Alligator mississippiensis: one gene and its partners. The protein of the gene in region 1 interacts with the protein of each later gene in a pairwise test. Links are inferred from orthologs where the notes say so. Each region holds a gene or a part of one and is shown on either strand. Other genes may lie near its edges. The genes, in order: HDAC4, SFN and CDR2.

Region 1 (8,172 bases):
AAATTTACATGATCAGTACCATCAGAAGTTGTGTTTACAGACTGAGCCATTTTCTAATTTTGGCTGATTAGTACCTCGTATAGGACAGCACTGTTGGATTCAACTTTCACTACAGTACTATTTTGTTCCTAACCCTATAAAATTCTCTTGTTAAGACGTGCCTGGTTATATTTAGTTTAGGTTATCCTACCAGTCTATTGAAAAATCTTGCCCCACAGACGCGCAGTTCTCCCAGTATGTTCACACTGAACGCAGCAAAACAGTGCATTTCAAATTTGAATTTTTTATTTACCAACCCTATTTTAACTATCTGCCCCCTATTAAAGTAACTGACAAGTCTACCTTGTATTCCAGTGCAACTCTCAGAATATATGTTTTATGTTGGCTTAATCCACTTCATCTTTCCAACTCAAGATGCAGAAGCAAAATTAAATACTGGACCTGGAGGATGGCAAGTGGCTTTTAGACATCCACAAAATAAGGGAACACATCAAAATTAAGAAGAAGAAATGAAATTGGGAAAGAAGCACATGTCCATCCAAATGGGAAAATGCACAAAACCTGGAAAGGTTGCCTCTTACACATTTTGTTTTATACAAAAACTGGTGGTTGCTAAAACTTACTCTAACTGGGTGGCATTTTACATTTGGAAATGTAATTGAGTGAACATGTTGCCATGGTTACAGTGGAATTCTGCAATAACTTTGTTGCCTTGTAATTGCTGTATATTTGTATACAAGCAGCTGAGCTTTCTTAATTCAATGCCCCCTTAACTCTTTCAGACAGGCTCCAAATCAACCACCATAGCTTTTAGGTTGAGAACTACAACAGCAACTGAAACACCAAAAACTAAACACTCAAAGCAGCTCCAGATCATATTACAAAAAAAGAAATACTGTAAAAAAAAAAATAAAAAATAATAATAATAATAATAATAATAATAATAATAATCAGATTACTACATAAATGCTAGTGGTGTTCCTTCACTTCTAAAAAACGTTGCCTTTTAGAAAGAGGCTTCCTCTTTCTTAGGTAATTAACTTCAGATAGCTACTGGCCACAATAAAGAGCACTTTGACAGTAGTAAACACAGCCTGTGCAAGGCACTTTTGGCACTATAAAAACAGCAGTAAATCAGAATATATTCCAGCAGCTTTCTTCACTAAAATTTAATTTCACCTATGGTGCAGAAGACCAACGTAAGATTCGGCATGTCACTGGGATCTCACACTGGAGTGCAGAGACTGCAGGGACTGGAATACTGCTAGGTCTCCAAACGAACTCAAACCATGCAGATAGCCATATTGGAGATGAATTCATAGAAAGGAACTGGTGTCTGTGGCCCCCAGCATGACAATGTGTTCCCTGAATCCAGGCATACAGATGGCATTCACCTCAACAGACAACCCAATCATCTGCAGAATTTACTAAAGCTCACCTCACCTTAAACCACTAAGTAACTTGATGGTAATAAATGTACCATTAAATCCAGTAAGTCAACAATTTAAGTGACAAGCCTAATTTCTGCAAACCTTGACATTAAAGCTGTCACAGCAAATCTATTGACAAACTGCTAAAACAACAAGAACCCTTCAGTGTCACGCAGGCATGTACATGAGCTACATAATGCTATTACAAAGGTTTTAAAGAAAAAAAAATGGATCAGGTTTACCACCCTCCAAATGGTACAAGGTAGCCTGGTATAATGTCAAGTAAACTGGCATGTAAAAAAGTGAAAAAGCTTAAGATGTCATGCTGCATTTGCCATGCCACAAAAATGCGAAGATAACATTTAAGAAGCTCAAGTGTTGCACAGTATCTTTCCTGATGAATTCCTGCAGCATAAACCCACACACAACTGCTCAGCAACACCTCCCTTCTCTCTGCTCCAAATACATTATAATTAATTTTTTTAAAACTATGACATGAAAATTGTTGCACAAATCCAACACTTCAGAGTTAAGAGTAAAATTCCCTTCTGATTGCACAGCAATTTCGGGGGGGGGGGGGGGGGGGGGGGGGCAGGCACAGGCCATAAGAGCCTGTGCTTACAAACATTAACCTAAGCGGGTCCTAATCCTGTTCTTATGCACTTTACATCAGCAGCACTGCAACAGTCCAACTACATTTTGAAAACGCAGTACCTGAAACACAAGCTTTGTTTTTTTTCCTCTATTGGCTGAGCCAACTGCGCCGGCGCTTGCCAATCAAAGAGCGGCTATTTGCTTGTCCACTTGTCATCCAAGTGGACAAGCAAAACGCTGCCCGGCTGGCTTGGCAGTGGGATTTGCAATGAGGAAATGAAATACACCAAATATTTTTCCCCTATAGCAAAAGAACCCAAAAAAAAAACAAAAAAAAGCTCCCCCCCAACCCTGCATTTGCCAAGTCACAGACTTTGTGACTTTGACACCCGGCAAAAAACCATTTAAAAATAAGAAGAACCAGGGGCCCCAAGTGACAGCAGCCTTAGAAATCGCTTTTAAACCATGCCCAGTAGCCCCGGGCATCCTCTCCCCCAAACCCACTTCACGAGCTGCTGCAGGCGGCGGCGGGAAGAGGCAGAAAAAACAAGTTCCGCTGCCAAAACCCTCCAGGCTCTTCGGCACCTCGTGCGAGCCCACCTGCCCGGCCCTGCGGGGAAGCGGGGTCCTGGGACAAGCCCGATGGGGTTTGAACCCGGAGGCTTTTTGACCGTGACTGTAAACAACTGGGCGGGCTCCGGCCCCGGCGGGCGGGAAGGAGCGGGCCCGGAGCGGGGGGGACCAAGACCCTACCCAGCCAGCCCGCCCGCCCGCGCATCCCCGCGGCAGCCAGACACACGGACAAGCGCGCCCGCCCGTCCTCCCATCACCCAGGGCTGCTCCGCACCCGCAGGGATCGCGGCCCCGCCCGGCTCGGCCGCACTCACCGCTGCCCGCATCCCTCCCGCGCCCGCTCCCGCCGCTCTTAGCACCGAGGCGGCAGCGGCGCTGCTCTCCGGGGGGGAGGGGGGAGGAGCCGCAGCGCCGGGGAGAGGGGGGCGGGACTTGCGGCAGCCCCCGCCCCACCCGCCTCATTCACAAAAACCCCGGCCACGCTAAGCCGCGAGGGGGCGGACCACGCCGCTCCGCGCCGACTGGGCAAGCCAGGCGTCTGTCTCGCCAAGGCCCACCCCCGGCCCCGCTCCTCCAGCCCTGACTGGCCAGCCACGGCCGCCGCGCCCTGTTTCCAGTCGCGGGCAATCAGAGTCCAGCTCGAAGCTTCGAGCGGCTTAAATGCACCCGCCACTGCAACACGCATGGCTCGGATTGGATGCGCTGTCCGTCCATCACTCTCTCCTTTCCCCCTCCGCGGCCCCGCCCCGCCCCGCCCCGCCCCCCCTCCGGACCCTCGGCGTTTCACGGTCGGAGCAGAGAGAAAAAAACAGCCGGGTGGGACCGATCCCTTTAAGGGCCCGGCGGCCGGGATCGGCCTTCCTACAAGTCAAAGCCGGAGGACAGAAACACCCGAAGTCTTAAAGGGGCCGCGCAGCGGCTGCCTGCGGGCAAAGGCGGGCGCAAGGCGCGGCGGGCAGGGCGCGAGCGGCAGGCACTGACCTGGACGGCGGGCACGGGCCCCGGGAGCTGGAGCGGGTCACGGGGAGGGCAGTGGCGGGGGCTGGCGCTGACACAGCGGCGCGCGCGCCACCAACGGACTCAGCCCATGACGGGATCCGCCATCTTGGAATTTTTAGCTGGAAAGTCACGTGCTCCGACCATTTTTTCCCTCAGCCAATCGCGGCGCGCGGGCTATTTATAGCAGCAGCTCCCGCCCCATCTCCCTCGGGGAGTGCGGGCGGCGGGGGAGGGGCTGGCGCTGAGCCCAGGTCCCCGCCCCACCATCTCGACTAGGCCCCCAACCCGCCCCGGCGGCAGGGTCCCTCAGCGCTTCCCTGGCCTTCGCCCCTGGGTGCTGCTTGAGCTGAGCCCCCGCAGGGCTTCCCTGGTGCATTGGGGCTGTGGCCCATGGTGCGCCCCTTGGGCATGTCCAGGATTTTGCGAAGGGCACAGGTGGTGAAAGGCGCTGTCGAGTGTAACGTGGCGCACAGTCTCTCGAATGATAGAAAATGAGAACCAGAAGGGACCACGGGAGGTCACATCTGGCCTGTCTCCTGCTCAGAGCAGAGCCAGCCCCAGCTAGATTGTCCTGGCCACAGCATTGTGTAGCCAGGGCTTCAAAACCTCCAAGGATGGAGAGCCCGCCGCCTCTCGGGGGTGTCTGTTCCAGTGCTGTACTGCCATCTTCATCAGAGGTCTTCCTTTACCCACAAATAAAAAGAAACTAGATGCTCTGCTCGTAGGCCAGGGGCCTGGGCCAGTGTTTCCCGTTTCAGGTGGAAGCAGAAACCAACAGGACTTCGTAGGAGTCGGTTACAAACCACCCGCAGGGCTGGGAAAGAGCAGCCTAGTTGCCAGAGGCAGAGACTGGGGCGGCAGAGTGGCTGAAGAAAGGCCAGCTTGACTGGGGGAACATTAAGACCATTAATGAAGAGAGAGGGTTGTTAACACCTAGGAACAGGTTTAGACGGGATGAGGTAAATTGTAATAAGCTGTGAATTTGCTTGACAACCTAGCTGCTGCCTGAGGTGCCAATGCTGCTGCCAGACAGTTGGCTTTAAACTCTGGGTGGAGCAGGAACCAACATGCAGCATGACAGCACCGCTGTACCCCTCCCAGACACACCCCTAGCCTGCCCTCCCTCACCATGTGTGTGTGGCAGGTTTGACAACCTTTTATCAACTTCCAGGGATGGCGCAGCCCAGGCTGCAAAACCTTATTGCAAAGCTAAGGAGTCCCACATGCCTCCATTCATGAGAGTGCTGTTTCTAACCAGCACATGCTCAATGATGCCGTTGACTGTGAGGTTTGGCACCTTTCAGTTTCCAGCTTTTCTCCACCACTGTGAGGCCTTGGAGCTCGCTTTACTTGAGAGCTGGGACTCATCCCAATGCCTGAATCCAGGAGCTGAGGCTTGAACCAAAGAAAGCATGAAGTATGACAGGTCTCAAATTTGCAAGAGGTGATCTCCCTATGGAGAGGTCGCTGCTGCTCTCCCGCCTAGATAGAGGTCAGACAGTGTTTACCTTCTGGGGAAGAAATCTAGGACGACTGATATGCCTTATGCATTTGGATGAAGCTTCCTGCAGAGAAAGAAAACCCCAACTAATGTGATGTGTTTTCTGTCAAGTACAAAGTAACTTTATGCAAAAGGAAGCATCCTTTTTTTCTACAAGAAATACATGAGGAAGCCCTGTCCACTGGGAGCTGTGTTTTCTCCAAACAATAAAAAACAGTCATCTAAAATTAGGCTTTCCACACATTTTATCTATTCAAAATGAGTGGTAGGTCTCAGCAACTTTTTCCTTGCTCTGGCTTCTTTGCTCTCCCTTGTCTACATCCCATTTCACCTCCATTTACAGGTAGAAGGAAATACATGTCATATATTCATAGATGTAGAATAAAGTAGGGTTTAGTAGAAGTCAAGGAAGTTGCAAAGCGAGTAAGGATCAACGAAAATTGGAACATGAATAAATTTTTTGTACAGACTAAGCATGCATGATGATCTAGGTGTGGCATGCATATATAGATAGATATAAAGGGATTTACACATGATAAAGACAGGAGCCAGATGACCCTAAGGGAATGTGGATTGGGAGGAGAAATGAGAACAATTGTTGGAGATGGGGGGGACAAAGACAGGTGCACACATGCATATATTTGAGCATGCAGGGCTGATCCAGTATGTGGTATATTTGAGTTTAACTCTTATTTGGTTTTTCCTGATCTGAAAGGTAGTCTGCTGGTAGCATTGCTCTTACAATATCTGTATAAACACTCAAAACAAAGCCTGAAAAAGTGAGTCAGAATTTTTCCCTAGAGGCCTGTCTCTGGCATTGCCTTGAAGGAAGCTGCCCTGGAAAGCATAGGAAGAACCTTCTCACTCCAATTCCAGTTCTAACATGCAGGTGAAAACAAAGCAGATTCATGAAAAGTGTTCTGCAAAATAGCGAGCGGCTGCTACCAAAAGGCACGTAGCAGTGGCGGCTGTGCTTTCCTCTTCAGTACGTACTAACCTACATGCTGCCTCAACGTGGGGAGCTTACACCTAGTCCCTCCAAATTTTCCCCAGTGACCAAAAAGCTGTTGCTAACTCTACCAGAGGTGAGAAAAGTGAAAATCAAGACAAAACAGCCAAGGAAAGAAGCACCAGTCAAAAAAAGAAGGTGGCGCTGAAGGGCAAAAGATTGTCCATGGTAATTAGTTCCCTTTTAGAGGAGGTCACCTGATACCTTGAAGACCTTGTGCGTTTATTCAGTTCTACAACATGCTAGTATTACCATTAGCTTCAAGGCCCAATGAGTTTGTATGAAAAAAGTTATTGTTGTACCTCATCAACCTAAAGTGTCATTGAGGATATGATGTGGGAAATGGTTTTTCTGGTTTAGACAACTGAGCAACATTGCAAGCCTTGGTCCCTATCAAGAAATGGAAATAACGTATGAATAATGGTTTAAATTAAGGTCAATTTGGCAATGTATTGCACACATTTTAAACACAATTTACTTGTTTCAGTTTTAACAACATTTGGCATATTATAGAAGCTTTTCATTTTTATACACATTTAGCCAATTCAGATAATGTAAACCTCAGGAAAATCTGAATTTTGGCTGTACAGATTGTGACAGAATTGGAGTAATTAGTAATGTAGGAATTGCAACATATATTGGACATATAATATTTCACTCAGTTACTAGCAGATGAGCAAATCTTCATTTCTTGCCAGGAGCTGTCTTAATAGAGCTTCTGCTCCGGGAGTGCATTTAACATCCTCTTTTTTCAGGTAATTTCGTCTGTAAAAATGGCTATGGACAACTCCACATGGTATCAAATATCTACCAGATTGTATTTAAAAGACCCTGGGTAAAATACTATACTTTTCCTAAAGTAGCAAACAGGATTTCTATGTGTCCATTGTATTTATGTTCCTCGCACTTCATGAGCAATAATTTAGGTTTTGATATGCTAAATATAATTACCCTAGTATATTATATGATCTTCACTATGTAGTTTCTTGCTTGACCATGTCCATTAGTTGTCACCACTCTCATTTGTTGAATTTTTTAATTCTGCAAAATGCTTGGAACTAATATGAAGACATGCTTGAAATATTGTACGCCACATGATGCAGATATGTTAGTTGACAACTGCTAAGTCAGGTGCCTAAAATGTTTAGGCAAAAAGGACTCCTGAGGGTTCAATCTTTATCCTTCAGGCTTTAGATCCTTTCAAAATAAGATAAGCATATCAGACTGTTGGAGGTGTTGCTGGTGTCACAACCTAAGGGTGTGATTTTGTGTGTGCGCGCTTCGGCACTGCTAAATTATTTCCAGCCACGAGGAGCTTTCTTTGCAAGGTGCATTTCTTAGTTGCAAAGAAGTTCCCGCCACCCGCATGCAAATTTGTGTCCCACTATTGGCCAGTTCTAAATTATTCCCTCGTGACGGCTAGCGATTGGCTTGCTAGCTGTATAAGAGGCTTGAGCGGTTTCCGCCCAAGTTGGAGAACTCCAAGGAGAACCCCGCAAGGGAGGACTCCACAACCATCTGGAGGAGGAGGACTTCACATCTCGTGAAGAACTCTAAGCGCTGCGGAGCCTAACGGACCCAGCGTGTACCTTAAGAAGGCTATAGGGGTCTGATCAACCTCTGGCCTCTCCCCATCGCCGAGCGCAATCTCTTGATGAACCCCTTCCCTGTGCACAAGTTCCACGGAGCCCAGCAAACTTCGTGTGAGTGTATCCAGAGCTCTTCTCCAAGTTGTTTTCTTCAGTTGACACAACAGGCTCGCGTTTTTAGAGCCTTCAGCCGGATTGGGCTAGAGTTCGCGAGTTTAGAACTCTTGTCCGCTTTTCTTCTTTCCTGTCTGTAACTGCAACACAAGCAAGTTTTTCTGCCTGCACCGCGACCATCTACGGTGTAAGTAAAATAATCTTTAATCAACCGCTATGCGTCCGTGCCTAATTCTAGTCCGCCGGCCTGCATTCCCTGACCCGCGTGCCAGGGCTGCTGGCCACAGCCCACCACGCGCCCCCGAGGGCCTCGGACCACTCCCGGCCCGCACAGCTGGTAGTCAAATATAGTCAGAACTGAAC
Region 2 (7,454 bases), on another chromosome or scaffold:
TACTGCACCCAAGGGAAGTCCAGCCTGGCTGGAGTTTTGCAGAAGGTTTAGGACTGTAGCTTGTAGCTTCTGCTGCCTCGGTCCAGGGCTGCAGCCACCCTCAGCCCCCGGAGCCCCCGCGTCACAGGGCGCCGTCAGCCCTGGGTGGAGGAGCCCTTCTCTGGAGACCGGGCTCTGCGCAGGAAACAAGAGAAACGGCAGCTTTTAAAAGCCACGTTAGTGGGAGAAGCTTTGTGGGGCGTGTGTATGCATGTAGGTGCCTGCACACGTGTGCATGGGCCTGTATGTGCACATGGTGCTTGGGGCGGACAACGGGCTGGACAAAAGCAACCGATAGCGGCCCTGGAGGCGGGGGCAGGAGTCCTGCTTACCCAGAACCGAGACACCGGAGGCCCAGGAAGGCTCTGCTCCCCCATCCCCTCGTCGCTGTAACCGGATCGCCCGCTGTGCGGCTCTGGTGGGGTCCTTGCCTCCTGCCGAGGCCTGCCCTGCGGCACCTCGCTCCTCTCCCCGCGCCCCCACCCCGCTACCCGCACTGACAGGCAGCCTGGCATGCACAAGCCTGCCTGGAAAAGCCCCGGGCCTGTGCCGTGCCGAGACATGTGCACAGCTGGAACCCCCTCGCCCCTACCCAGCAGCAGAGAGGCATGTGCCAGGGGGCACGGGCTGCACCCAGCCGCTTCCACAGCACCAGGCCCAGCAAAGAGTAACGACCAGGACGACCGAGGCAGGGGGCAGGTGAAGTTTTATTGGCAGGGACAGGCAGACAGCGGCTATGGCAATACAGACACAGGCAGCACCACGAGTTTATCATTCTTAACCCGCAAGAAAGAATCCCTCCCCAGGCCCCTCACCTCCAGCTTTCTCCCACCAAGGCTCATGGCAGCGGCGACAGGGACCCCGCACAGCACGCCGCAGGAGCGATGGCCAGGTTCCCAGCTCCTCAGATTCCCCTGCTTAAACGCCCTGAAGAGTGGGGACCCTTCAGCCCTTTGCAAAGGGGTGCGGGTGGGGGGGGCCTAAGATGCCCCCTTCCATACACACCCCCCATGCTAACAATAGCATACAGGACGCTGGGCAGGACACCGAGTTAGCAGCGCTCTTCTGTAGCAACAACCACCCACCAGGGGTATCGTGGAAATCGGGATGGGGCCGGGGAAGGGGGTTTTGTCCCGAAGCTGCCTCGGGGGAAGGCAAGATAAAATGTGCGAATACCATACGCGCGGGCACGTCCCCTCTGCTAGCAGGATCCGGGCTGTGGAGCCGAGACACGTCTGCCAAAAAGGGGCCGAGAGGTGGGGAGCTCGCCGGGCCGCGGTTCAGTTCTTGGGCTCTTCCCCGGCTTCGCCGCCATCTTCTCCCGCGCACTCGGCTGTCCATAACGTGAGGTTGTCCCTGAGCAGCTGCATGATGAGGGTGCTGTCCTTGTAGGAGTCTTCGTTGAGCGTGTGCAGGTCGCCCATGGCTTCGTCGAAGGTGGTCTTGGCCAGCGTGATGGCCTGCTCGGGGGCGTTGGCGATCTCGTAGTGGAACACGGAGAAGTTGAGGGCCAGCCCCAGGCGGATGGGGTTCGTGGGCTGCATCTCCTTCTTGCTGATGTCCATGGCCTCCTGGTAGGCTTTCTGGGCATTGTCTATGGCGTCTTTGCGGTCATCCCCCGTGGCCACCTCAGCCAGGTATCGGAAGTAGTCTCCCTTCATCTTCAGGTAGAAGACCTTGCTCTCCGGATCGCTGGCTTCCGCGATGAGATGCTTGTCCAGCAGCCCGAGCACGACGTTGCAGACGTTCTTCAGCTCGCCCTCGATCTTCTCCCGGTACTCGTTCACCAGCTGCGCTTTGTCGTCGCCTTCCTCGGTCTTGTGCTCGATGCTGGAGACGACCCTCCAGGCCGAGCGCTGGCACCCCACCACGTTCTTGTAGGCGACCGAGAGGAGGTTGCGCTCCTCGTTGGACAGCTCGTCCCCGTGCTCCACCACGGCCTTCATGAAGTCGGCCATGTCCTCGTAGCGCTCGGCCTGCTCGGCCAGCTTGGCTTTCTGCACCTGGTGGTTTCGTGCCATGGCTGGGAGCGCTGCTGGTTGGAGAAGGAGCAGGCGGTTGTCCTGGGAGCCCTCAAAGTCTGTCTCGGTGCCGCGGACGGGATTTGCTTTTGGCTGAGCGTCTGAGCCTGGAGCAAGGGCTGGGTGCCGCTGAGAAGCCTGGCTGAGCCCCTCCTCTACTTCCTCCTAGCCGGGCAGCTCCTTAAAAGGCAAACGGCAGTGACTCACCTGGGAGCTCACTAACCATGTGCCAGCGAAGGGAGGAGACATCCAGGTCCAGCAAGGCCTCCACCCTGCCGCCTGCCAATCACAGGCTGGCCTCTGCACTCCCGGCTCCGGCACTGTGCCCCCCGCCCTGCCCCACCCGGCCTGTCGCCTCACCCTTTCTAGGTGGTCGGAGAGCATCCTGGCTGGACACGCACCTAGAGATGGGCTCTTTCGGCCGTGGGAGCCTTGCTCCGCTGCTCAAGCGAGATCAGCCCTCAGGGAGGACCAAGCAGATCTAACCCCCATTTCAGATGCCAGGAAATCTTTCACTGCCGGGGGACTTTAGCTGCCCCCTCTGCCAGGTGCAGATGGTCTCTGCTTAGCACCCCTAGCTCCCCAGCAGCGAGCGGCTATGCAGCTTCAGCCTGATGAGACATACCTTGTCTGACCGCAGAAAGCTAACACGATGCAGCCACTTCAAATACCAAAAGGGCTCGTTCCTCTGGGAGCTGGGTCTTTGTGCAGCCGGGGAAACCGAGGCAGAGAGAACAAGTGACTTCTCTAAGTGCAGAGAGGGCTTGTTTTATAGGTGGACTAAGACTGCACGAGCTTCGGCTCCCGCTGCTGCGCTCAGATCACATCACATCCCCCCCCCAGTAAGCTCGATGCCCTCTTCTGCTGGGCCCGTGAGCAGACTTGCATGACAGCACCGGCTCAAAAAGCCTTGAGAAGCATGTGGCCTTCCTCCAGGGGAAAGGGGGAAGGTTTGTGGGCAACAGGCAGGGCATAAGACACCAGTCATGCTGCGCTCATCTCTTCTACCCTGAGAATAAAGCTGCCTATAGAGGAGAGGAGCAAACCAGGAGCGTGTGACTGAATAGGGTCACCCCAGTCCGTTTGCTCTAGTTTTGGGGACTGCTTCAACACTAAGATGCTTTATCCTCCTCCTTCGGGAGGGACAGCGCCTTGGACAGCCCAGCCTGTGTACCAGAGGTGGGTGCATGTGGCTCCGTGCAGGGAGCAAATGGGCGTGGGGGAAGCGGGTGTCCAGGCCCATCTTAGACCGTCCAGGGCAGGGATTGGAAAATGCAGCCCAGGGGCCAGGTGCGGCTCGCCAGGCTATTCTATCCGGCCCGCAGGGCCACTAGCGCAAGAGCCTGGTGGCTCCCAAAGCCAGCATCCTGCCCCAGGGCCTTGCGTGCGAGGCAGGGACAGCGGCTTCTGCCGAGAAGCCAATGGTTTCTCGCTTTGCTACCGGCCCGGCTCAAAGCCTCTTTGATGAAATAGGGAAAAGGGACCGTCTGCGGCGCTGCGCTGCCTCTCGCCGTGATGTGCCCTGATTAGAATCTCCTCCTCCAGTTACGCTGCAGTTTCACTCTCAGACTGATTAAGCTTGTTCCCACTTGCTGGGAGCCGACTGCTCCTTTCTGCTGCTGCCAGGACGCGGCGTGACAAACTCATTGCGCTAATCCTCCACGTTATCCGCTGCGGGGAGGGTGGGGCTGGCAACTCAGCTGTCCCACTGCGCCGAGGAATTGTTCTGGCTGCGTGACTCACGGCGCTACTCATCCGTGCGCAGAGCCCTGGATTGTCTCCCCCCAGCTGACGTCTGAGCCCTTCTCTGCTGAAAGGCCCCGGTGACACCCCAGTGAGATCAGACCAGCTCGCTGCTGATTTGAGGGGAATGCCGTGACCTAGCTACAGCGCTGAATCCCTCCTGGATGAGCCAGGGGAGGCTGAGCCCCGTGACGTGTGCTTAGCTTTCCTGGGTGCAATGGGTGCAATTAGCTTAGAGGCCTTCCCCGCTCCCTGAGTAATTATTACCAAGGGATCTGAGCCCCTCCCGGCACCCCGGGGCAGAGCGGGCAGCACAGCGATCCCTGCTGTCACACAGACGGGCACCGAGGCCCAGAACCTGCGAGAGATTTCCACACGCAGCTCCCACGGCCCAACACCGCAGCCTGGTGCCAAAGGGACTCGCCCGAGCTCATGCATGAAATGTGTGTCAGAGCAGGGCTTTAACCCAGTTCTCCCAGGTCCCACCTAGTGCTGCACTCCCTGTCCCGTGTCCCCCCGTCTCTGGGGCCTGAATGCTGCACTGGGGCCCCATGGGGGTGACGGGGACCCTGGTGCTGCAGGCGCCCAAGTAGCCGTGCGCTGGAACCAGCAATGAGTGTTTCCAAAAGAGATGCCGGCAAGTAGCACCCGGCAGGTGCCAGGCTCTCTATGGGGGGAGCAGCCTGCGGGCTGTCAGAGGGGATGCCAGGCCACGTGGTGGGTGCCTACGTGCTCTAGCCACAGCCGCGTCATTCCTTCCCAGGTGTGAATGTCCCCCCAGGTTTGCTTCCCCTTTGGGGGCTCGCCCGCCGCGCGGTAGGGTCTGCGCAGCCTCCTGCCCTGTGCAGCTGACTGAAGAGGAGGCAGGCGAGGCGCCTTTCCTTCAGGCAGCTCTGCGATCCCTTCGCTGCACCAGGGGCCTCGCGGCAGGGCACATGCTTGCTGCATTCGGCGCTGGAGAATTAAACTGAGCAAGCCTGTCTGCTCCCAAGCCCAGCGGAGAGGTAAGGAACAAGCATGGGTGAGCCCCAGTCTCTCTTCCCTGGCTGGAGGGAGGAATTAGCTCCTTCCTGATCTGTGTCCCTGTTTGCTCTGAGAAAAGCCGTGGCGCTGCCGTGGGAAAAGGAAGGGCCCCGCTGCAGTCCGGCAGCCAGTGCCGATGCTGCCACACGCGTCTGCCTCCCGGCTGGTGGAACTGGACCTAACCCAGAGGAGCTGTTCAGAAGCCTCCATTTTAGCAGAGGATCAAGTTAACCCTGAAGAAAAGGGGCTCTCGGGCCTGGAGCTGGTCAACTCGCCTTCCCGTCCCTCCCCTCTGAGGCCAACGCGAGTCGCTGGGCGCACGTGGCAGGAAGAACGGGGCCAGGATGGCACAGGGCTCAGCATGACAAGATGGGCTTGGCCTGGGCTGGCCCCACTTCACCTTCTCATCCCGGGCAGCGCATGGACCAGACTGGGGCACGCCCTTCACAAACAGCTCAGCATGAACGGGAACAATAAGCGGCAGCAAACGCATCAAGAAGGTGCCCAACAAATTGACCCAGTTTGTGCACAGATGTGTGCGCAGAGGCGGGCCAGGCTACGCCCCGTGGCGGTGATGACATTCAGTGGGGCCCGTGGATCAGGCCAGCTCCGAGCACCGACAGCCAGAGCTGCAGACCCGCTCTGGCATTAACACAACAGGCTTCCTACTCACTCCCTCCCGCCCTGGCTGGAAGGCCCGCAGCCCCGCCGCGCCTTGCTGCACCCACCCCTCAGTCCTGCGACGTGCCAGGCTCCCCGGCAGCATGCAACACGGCTTCCCCTGCTGCTCTTGACCCACCCTCGCTCCTCTCTGGACAGATCAGCCCCTTGCCACAGTTATACGAAACTGCAGCTCTCGGGTCCACCAGCAACTTTGCAACAGGGCAGTTGAGAAGGAAGCAGCTGGAGACACCTGTCCCCAGTGTCACCGATTTCAGTTCATAGACATTAGGGCTTGAAGGGACCTGGCAAAATCATTGGGTCCAAGCCCCTGCCCAAAGGGCAGGTAGGCAGCAGGGGGTCAAATGATCCCAGCAAGATAGTTGGATGAGTTAAATAGATACACCTGGGTCTGAAGCAACAAAACCAGCAGCCCCTCACCCCTCCTCCCCCGCCTTCTCTCCCTGCACTGAGCACGCAGGTAGTTTGGGGGAAAAAAAGGCGGACTGATTCCCAGGTGCAGCTCACCCTGCATCCGGTTTCCAGGAAGACCCAGCCTGGCTCTGAGCTGACTGGGAGCACCTGGGGTTTCACAGGGATGAGGCCTGAACAAGTGGCAAAGCTCAGCACCTGACACTTGCACCTAGCCAGGCTCCGGGTGGCTGGGACCAGCGCACAGCAGCCCAGGGAGCTAGATATTCCTGGCTTGCAGCCTGAAATCACTGAGCAGGAGACTTCTCATTCACACCCCACCTCCCCCCAGGGAACACGTGTGCAGTCACGAGCGGCAGAGAAGGGGCACACCTTCCTGGAGGAACAAAAGCCAGGGGTCCGGGTACAGTAAATAGGAGAGACTTTATTGTGTTACAAAAGTAAAAGGCCTGACGCGGTTCCAGTCCCCCGGCCTGTGCGGGGCTGGCAGGAGGCAGGGGCTGGGCCGTCTCGCACTAGCTGCTTTGTAAAGCCTCGCACCCGGTTTGCTAGTGGCCAGAGCGTTAGTGCATTTGCTGCTAGGCACAGGCTCCCGGTAACGCTGACTGCAGTAGCAGGGGGAAGAGGCTGGACAGGGACGGACGCTAGGCAAGCTGCTGCTGCGCTCTACTCCCTTCCCTGAGAACGGGAGCTGCCCTAAGACAGCGGAAAACGCTGGGCTTACTGGCGAGCGCTGCCTGAAAGGTGACCTCGGAGCGCACGGACTGCCAGCGAGACGGGGCCTCGGGCTGCGTGCGCCAGGAAGGCAGCTTGGGGAGGGTGTTGGCCAGCACAGCCAGCAACTACCAGCCCGTGTCCCTGCTGCAAACGCTGCACTAAGCCTGTTAAGTTCAGAGGAGCTGCTTGACTAATAACTACTGACATCTTCTGGGACTGACCGAAGGGGAGATGCTTCACTGCAGAGTAAGGCTAGTCGCAGGCAGCCACCTACAGCCTCAGCTCAGTAGCGCAAGTGTTTCTGGCAGCAGGAGACAGTAGATACTCTAGTTATTGCACTCGGAGCAGGTGGTTTTATGGCTTTAAGCTTCAAACCCACAGGACAGCAGAGTGCGCCGGCTCCTGGTGGGGGCTTGGAGAGGCTTCCCCTTGTGCATGGCAGCTTTCCCCCCTCTCCTGCCGTGGGAGGGGAGCCGGTGCTGTAGCATAGCCCTGGAGAGTGGAGGCACAGGTGGTGGTAATGGCTGTAGTTTCAGGTATCGTCCGCTTTCTCTTGGCTTCCCTTGGGTTGCTCCAAGAGAGGCAGAGGGCAGCAGTCCTCAAGAGCTCTTTAGTGCCCTGAACATACTGGATTTCCCACAGTCAGTGGCAAGGAAAGGAAAAGGGAGGAAGAGAAAGAGAGGGTTAGTACAAGGAAGACCAGAGTGAGAAGCAGGTAGAAGTGGATCATCCCGACCAGCTAAAGGAAGAGAAGGAGAACGCAAGGGGCTGTCAGCGCCGTCCCGTCCCCCCACGGTAGCAGCACGAACGAGGTCCCGA
Region 3 (8,068 bases), on another chromosome or scaffold:
GGGCATGCTTGAATGGGCAGATGGGATGGGGCCGCAGACGGGCAGGGAGCAGCATCCAGGATCCAGTAGGATAGGTGGGCAGGGACCGGGATCATGGGGCAGTGACAGGAGGGGAGCAGATTGCAGGTCTGCCCCATGCTGTCACCACTCCACAATCCCGGCCCTTGCCCACTCATGGCCCTGTCCCATCTACCCAGCCAAGTGCACCCTGCCCACCAGGGATCTCAGCCAGTTTCCATGCAAACCCCAGGCACCCATTCTGTCCGGCGGCCCCAGCAGTGGGTGTGCAGTGGATGGGCCTGGGCTGGTAGGGTCGACTGCCCCCTTGCCCTGCTGGGCCAGTACCCTCCACCCAGCAACAGCTCACCAAAGTGAACCTCCAGCCAAACTAACTACCCACCCCTGAGTTAGTGAAACTATTTCCCAGCTCTTCTAACAGAGGATGTTTTGATATATAAATACAGACGTTCAAAATATTGTGCTTAATTTTTCATTTTACTTGGGGGGGTGAACTAATGCTTGCCAGAAACCAATATTTATAGGTAGTTCACTGTCTAAAAATGTGGACAGGTGCCTAGTCAGATTTTCAAAAGCTTAGATGTCTACTCTCATTAAAATATAAGCATTCTGGCTGTAAGCCACAGACCAGCAAACACTTACATGCAAGTAACTCTGAGCACATAGGCAACCTTACTGAGCTCAACAAGACTCTTCAGGTAAATAAAAGTTATTCACATGAGGAAGGGTCTGAAGCATCACAATGATGATCGATTTTAAGTACATTAGTAATCCCATTTAGACTGAAAACATTATTTCAGTACCATAAAGGCTTTTTTTATTTTTTTTAAACTAAAAGCTATAAACAATGTACACTTAGTGCATCTTTAATTTATGATAAATCAAATATTTCAGTAGGGCAACAATAAATTCATAAACAAAGCAGAATTATTTCAGTGCCATATAAATGTTATACAACACTAATAAAATCAATGTTCCAACATACTGTACCTGAGCTTGATGAAAGGCAATTTCTGAAATCTTGTACTGGTTTAAGAAAAGCTTAACATAGTAGAAATTAAAGATACTATTCATCATTCCAGCACCTAATGTGGTCATGGAATATGCCAGTGCATTAGGATGAATTCCTAAAACAATCTTCATTTTCCAAATTGTGATAGTTTCTTCTTCTGCTTCTAATTTAAAAAAAAAAGTTAACAATTAGATAAGTACCATTACCTGATATTTATAAACTTGCTAACAACACAAGATGGCATATTGTAACATAGAACAACTCCATGTTGCTGGGGACAACCAAGAGAGATTTGCCCATGTCAGGGCTGCAGGCTGGGGTCCCACAAATCTGTATTCAAGGATTTCTTCATTCTCAGTCTCTTTTCTACTTCTAAATGTATTGCAAAACTTTTAAGATTATTGGACCATGAGCACAAACCTAAACAGCTACAGTAGTAATTTATCAATACCATTTCTTAATATATATGCAATGCTTAAATGCCAATAGAACATGTCTAACAAAAATAAAGGGAACTTTTATCATAAGTGGCATAACCCAGTCCTACATCTATGTTAGTGCAAATCCAGCTCCCCAAACCACAGATATTTTACAGATCACTCTTTCTTTCATTAGCTTAAAAACTGTTAAATGAAAAACAGACTAAATAAATTTAATTCATATTGATGGATTACCTTGAGGTATCAATATGTAATAAGCTGCAAATTTAGTTCAGTAATGTTTTTAAAACACATTCTTTTAAACCAATTCACGATGATCATTTTTAGTTTAACGTTAATAATAAAAAACAATGTGGAAGCAAACTTCCAGTTAACAAAATAATTAAAAGACAAAACAGAAACCATTACTTTTGACTAGGAATCTTCTTCATCTCTGTTTTCTCCCTTACTAGTCTTATATTACAAAACTAGAAATTTACATAAAGCATCCTGAAGCTAAACATTATGCTCTGTAGTCACACAGCATGTGAAACATCCCTATGGGGTTCAGCCAAGGACATGCAGAGTTCTTAGCTCAGCACTCTCTAACTTAAGCAGTGTATAGGTGGCCCCATCACACTGTGGGGGTGAGGTGGGAAGTTTCAGAAACTGGCCCCGTATGGATGCTCCGTGAAGTGCTAGTCCTGAAGCTGTGTGCTCTGTGTGTGGGTCCATTTGGCGTGTGCCACCCATTTGGGTGGGTGAATTCAAGACCCAGGGCCAGCAGCTAGATGATGGGGCTCCATGGGTCAGATCCAGCCTGCAGACCAGATTTTTGACATCCCTGATTTAGCATAACACTTAATTATTCTTTTCTAATTCAAGTTAGAAACAAAGGAACAGTTGGGATGAGGTGGAAAATGGAAAGAAGCAAGCCTCCATGGCCCTTTGAAGCTGCTTATATTATTAAATGAAAAGATGACTAAAGGTAGCAATAGTAAAAAGACACAACTTTAAATTTAAGCTTGTTACATGTTCCAAATAAATTCTGTATAATGGCTTTACATTGTTCACTGTATCTGACTTTTCACATACAAATGTGAACAGCTAGATTACTTTTCTCTTTTGAAAATCAATTGGTATTAATAGCTCATTCTAATCCACCTAACCATATGTATATCCTCATTAGCACAACTTCAGATTTCTTCCTAAGAAAGCTGTGCAATCCCTCAATATTTCATAGCACACCAATTCTCAAAAAATATATATTTTAAAGAATATTTGCTAATTTCTGATTTATCCCTTCAGTCACTAGAAATTCTGTCTGTAAATATTAATTTCCACTCACTCTTGGTAGACTAAAGCCACAGGCTGCCCTCAGCAAGATTTCCACATCCTTTTAAACTAAGGGAGGCTGCCATCAGCAAAAACTATCACTTCTCATTGTTCCCGGCATGGCTGAAGATAGGCATTTCTGGGGAAGATGATGACCTTTAGTTACCACACAAAGTCCAGGAAACCTGCATAGAGTATGAGTAGACAGCTGCCTAGCTTGTCTACAGATGGTACAGAGTAGCAGCTCTCCAGAAGCAGTAAGTTAAATGTTTCTAGCTGGACACAAAGTGGAGTGTAGCCACGTGGTATGTGGCGCTCCAGATACATCCATGGCACCACATACTATACATTCAATTGTTCTCCTCCCTGCAAGAGAGCAGCGTGGAGGTTTTTTTGGACCCCTGGATATGCACACACGGTGGCAATGGGAGCCACCTAAAGCTGGAGCTGTGCTCTGCTGCCAGCCAGGCTCTGCATGGCAGAAGTAACATGACTGCAGCCCCTGCAGGCCCCCAGTCTCCCCTACCCCGCCATGGGTAACTTGTGCCAGAGCACGCGTGACAGCTAGCAACCCCACACAGTATCCTGCTGCTAGTTGTCCCTGGGGAACCAAACATTCACACACATCTGGACATGGCCAAAATGTGTTAACGCGTCTTTATTTTATACTGGTTTTGTACAATGGTGTGAATTAGCCTGAAGTAGTTGCTGTTACAGCACCTAATCACTAGGTGGGAAGATGAGCACATCATAACCTGCGTGCATTGAGCAGTCTACCCTGGGATAATTGCAAACATACTTTACTTCCACCAGCCTGTTTTTATTCATTTTTTTTCCTGGGGTAGCTTTACACCATGTTCTAGTAAGCTGCACCGCTACAGGGGTTTCCAGTGTGCCTGCTTTTTTTTTTTTTTTTTTGCACCAGTAAGAGGCAATTTATACTTGTGCAATCATGTTGGGCATCCAAACCTTAGGGGCAGATGCTCCCCGCTCAAGGTGAAAAAAAAGTCAGCCAGGCACAAAGTTAACCTGAGCCAAAGAAATAAATACAAGCATTTGTGAGTCACTGCTGGTTTTTGTGCATACTTTTTTTTTTTTTTTTTAAAGAGCCTGGCTCATGATTTCCGGATGTTTGGATAGGCAACACTGCATGCTTTTTGCAGAGTCTTTAAAAAAAACCAACAACATACTAGGTTCTGCAATATTAGGTGGGCTGCAAACTGCATAGCAGCCTTTGCCTTCAGAAGTGAGCTCTAAAGAAGACTATCTACGGGAACCCTCTCACGTTACACTCGACTCTCATCACATCGGACCCACAGACTGCCCTGGATCCTCCTCCAGAACAGGAGAGCGACTGGGTTGCACGATCCCATCCCGGGAAATCTCCTTTGCTCCTGCACAAATCCTTCCTGCTTCCTGCAAGCGGGTGCTGCCGCCGCGCTGCCTCGCGAACAGGCCGGCAGCAGCGCGGGGTCCGCAAGAGCCGCTCGGGCCTCCTCTCAGGGACGGCCTCCCCTGGCCCCCGCACCCCAACGGGGCCAGCCCAGGCGGCTTCGCCTGGCCCTTCCGACGCCCCCTCTCCCAAAGCGGGAGGCGGCTGCGGGCCATGGGGGAGGCGAGGGGCACAGCGGGGCGGCCAGGGAAACAAAGCCCCGGGAGCTGCCTGTGTAGCGAGGGGCGTTGTCACCTCGCCTAGCCCCCGACACGCCGGAGCCCCGGACACCGCCCCGCCGCCATGGCAACCCCGCCTGCCCCCCGCCGCACTAACCGCGCGCCTCCTCCCTCAGCCTGGAGCCTGCGCAACAACCGCGGGGGCGGGGACGTCGTGCGCCCCACCCCGCAGCCTATTGGAGATGCGGAAGATCCCGGCGCGTGATTGGCCCGCGTTCCCGTCGGTCTGCGAGCCGCGGCGCACGATTGGCTGCGCGCCGCGAGGTGGGCGAGCCGGGTTTGAATTGCTCTCGGGAGGGAGGTCGGTTGCCGCTGCCACGTTGCCGCCGCTGGCGGCTCTGCCCTGCCGGCGCCGCGCTCGGCAGCGTCCGGAACCGCTCGGCAGCGTCCGGAGGCAGCTCTGAAGGGAGCGTCGGGGCCGGCGGGTCGGGGCGCGATGCTGGCCGACAGCTTGGTGGAGGAGTTCGAGCTCCGCGAGGATGAACCGTGGTACGACCAGCAGGACCTGCAGCAAGGTGAGGCCGCCCGCGCCGGCGGCACCCGCCGCTGCCCGCGCCCGAGCAGCTGCCGCCTCCCGCACCTGCGAGGGCCGCCGGGGCGGAGGAGGAGACCGGCTCTGCGCTCCCCTAGCCTGCTCGTGCCGCGCGGACCGTCCTGCCCCGCCCGCCCGCCGTCCTGGGCACGAGCACAGCACCTGCGCGCCGGGGCTTCCTTCAGAAACTTCCCTGCGGGGCATGAACTAGGATCCGCCCCGGAGAAACGCGGGGGAAAAACCACTAGAAGCTGATGCTGCGGGACCAGGGATGTGGTGTCGAGCCTTCCCTTGTCTCCAGTTCTCGGGGCGCTTGGAAGCATCCCCTCCTTACTTGGCGATTTGGCAGAATAACGTCTGTGTATTTAACAGAAGCGCGTTACTTAGTTTCTTTTCTAATATGCCATTAGGTGCCACACAGGCTGACCCACATCAACGCTGGGATGGGAGAGGTTCAACCAAGGGTTGCCAACTCTCGTGATTTTTGGCATTGCTCTTCAAGTCTATGTTCCGGGAACGTGAAAAACGTAGCTCTTTCTTTTATTCATATTTATCTGCCTATAAGAAGGAGCTGGGTTTTTTTGCATTCCCAAAGCGCAGACTTTAACAACAACGCCAACGCTCATGAGAGTAGCTTTTTAAAAGATTAATTCTTACAACTTGAAAACCCGCCCGAACCATCTAATTTCAGAGTCTACCATCTTTGACTCTTGTGCCCAAGAAGAAAACAAAGTTTTGGCTGGGGTGTTATGACCCCGCACTCGTTCCTGCCTGGGGCAGGGGTTCGGACCTGATGATCTGTTTAGGTCCCTTCCAACCCTAACAACAATGAAAATTTCACCTGGGGGGGAAATGGAGTTTAATATCTAGTCCCTTTTTATTAAGAAAAAAAGTATGGAAATGACTTTTCTGTTTGCTGGGAGATTCAAGAATGGTAAACAGCAACTTCCTACATCAGATATATGTTTTGGTGCCCTGCTGAAAAAAATTCATGCATGCTAGGAAAATGGCCACCAGCTTCAACAAAGTGTTGACTAGATCACAACCTAAAATGAAAAATAAATGCACAATTCAGAGACTCTTCTAAGACTTGTTTAGAAGTAAGGCTCGTGAACTAAATATTCACAAGGGCTAATCAGTGTATACCATATTGCTTAATAATCTCTTGTTGAAAGGAATGGGCACAACTTACTGCACAATTATCTTGGGTGGATTATTAAAACGTAGGAGCAGGACGCTGGCAACATTATCTTGATGTTTGGTTGCCCAGTTGTAATAACACCTTCAGCAAGGTTTGTACAAGTGTCATGAAGAGATGATTGCTTAGGGAGAACAGGACTTCCAAGTCTGCAGTTTCCAGACATAACAGTTAAACCTAACAAATCTAGACTGATCTGCCAAAATCTTGCTTGCATATTGTACTTTCAGGGACAAGGTGTAAAGTGACTAAACTTGTATTGGCCATTCACGACTGTTCAGGGACTATTCTCATGGTGAAAAGGGAACTTCTTAAATATCTGACCGAGATATTAACCAGCATATTGCCAAAATGTATTCAAGATCACAAAATAAAATGGAATGCAGAAAGATAAGCTTCTGTACTACACTGAAGTTTCAGATGGTCTTTCATTGTTTTTATCCTTATTCAGCTGGTTAGCTATATTCTGTTGTTTACTTGCACACTTGCTTTTATTGCACCTTGAACTCTGAAGGAACATATCAGGCTGCATAGTTTTGTCACCAGCCAAACTCTAAAACTCTGCAGGTGAGGTCAGGTTCATGAAAGCTCACACTGTTTTTCTGGTTTAGTTTGTCTATAGGGTGTAAATCTACCCTGCCTTCTGCTTGACTTCAGACTAACGTGGCAAACCTACCTCTCCAAATTCCCTTAGATGTTAACAAAAGCAGTGTCTGAATACGTCACATTAAATTAATTTAAAAAATGAACACCCTTTAATTCATGCACTAGTAGCCTAACCACCTTTGAAAGCATTGAACACTTTCAGCTCTTCTTGAAACCAAGACTTATCAGTGCCTTAATGTAATTAAAATCAGCACATTGGAAAGCAAATTCTTTCTGCAGTACTTAATGCTCTTAGTTTTAGATGAGACCAAAATTTTATTTTAAGACAAGGTTTACTTTCACATTTGAGTGATTCTGCCTATCATATAGAAACCAATTTCTTCTCTGTCAAGAATAGCAAATTTTTCACATAAGGAAAACATGAATGCTGCTTTGGAACTGCCAAAATAACAGACTACATTTAAGTCTGTAGCATGAGCATCTAAATAAAAGATGGAATCGTACTGTACTCCTTTTGTATTGCTTCATGCTCAGAGTGCTTTGTAAACACAAATATCACACTACCAATATTACACACTAACAGGAAATTACATGCACGGTTTCATTCCTTCCAGTTTTCTAAATACTTTCTTCTCAATTGGTTAGATCTCTTAAGCATATTTTAAATACTTGGTTTTGGCTCTTAAGTCATTTTACAAGTTATGTATGCAGTTGCGTGTCTTTAATAGAATCGTACTACTTGCCTGAAGCATTGAGTCTTAAGTATACCTTGGTATGCTTAGCAACATTTAAGGCAACAAAAATAGCATGAGTTATTGGACGGCTTTAATAAAGATGGCTGATGACCAGCTAAATTTAGTATGTTGTGTGGAATTAGAAAGTCTTAAGTAGGATTGTAATTTATGTAAAGGATTACAGAATCACTGAAGCTGTAGACAGCAATAGGTACTACAGAGCAAGATGTGGAAAAACATGGTTTGGTTTAGGACTTCTTAGTAGACAGGCAAAAAACTCATACTTGCTGCTTTCTAATACAGACTAAGTAGGTAAGATAACATGTAGCAACAAGAGGTCTTAGACAGAATTGGCAGACTGGGAGACTTGTAGAAAGCCGAGGAAAGGAAATGGAGCTACATTTGCACTTAAATAGATGCAAGACCAAAACTAAATGCATGGGGGGAGGAGGGAAGGAATACCAAAGCAAGAATGCTTAAGTCTCTTTCTTTACATTAGGATGTACAAGATGCCTTTGTGCCTAAACACAGCTAACTCACAGA

What was found.
Region 2: the proteins of HDAC4 (region 1) and SFN interact in binary tests that used the Homo sapiens proteins (3 or more experiments, as listed by UniProt). The link is inferred for Alligator mississippiensis from reciprocal best matches to the Homo sapiens genes HDAC4 and SFN.
Region 3: the proteins of HDAC4 (region 1) and CDR2 interact in binary tests that used the Homo sapiens proteins (3 or more experiments, as listed by UniProt). The two-hybrid records come from large-scale screens. The link is inferred for Alligator mississippiensis from reciprocal best matches to the Homo sapiens genes HDAC4 and CDR2.

The regions. Positions count from the first base shown.
Region 1 is NC_081827.1:182,299,818-182,307,989, reverse strand, and holds the start of HDAC4 (histone deacetylase 4), read right to left. Parts: upstream 3,752-8,172; 5' UTR 3,579-3,751; intron 2,991-3,578; exon of another isoform or gene 2,912-2,990; intron 1-2,911. UniProt on the Homo sapiens protein: Responsible for the deacetylation of lysine residues on the N-terminal part of the core histones (H2A, H2B, H3 and H4).
Region 2 is NC_081829.1:2,829,603-2,837,056, forward strand, and holds SFN (14-3-3 protein sigma), read right to left. Parts: upstream 2,221-7,454; 5' UTR 2,061-2,220; coding exon 1,320-2,060; 3' UTR 729-1,319; downstream 1-728. Other genes in the region: palmitoyltransferase ZDHHC18, read right to left, coding at 7,005-7,262. UniProt on the Homo sapiens protein: Adapter protein implicated in the regulation of a large spectrum of both general and specialized signaling pathways. Binds to a large number of partners, usually by recognition of a phosphoserine or phosphothreonine motif.
Region 3 is NC_081836.1:46,673,980-46,682,047, reverse strand, and holds the start of CDR2 (cerebellar degeneration-related protein 2), read left to right. Parts: upstream 1-4,775; 5' UTR 4,776-4,891; coding exon 4,892-4,970; intron 4,971-8,068. Other genes in the region: transmembrane protein 180, read right to left, coding at 1,009-1,161.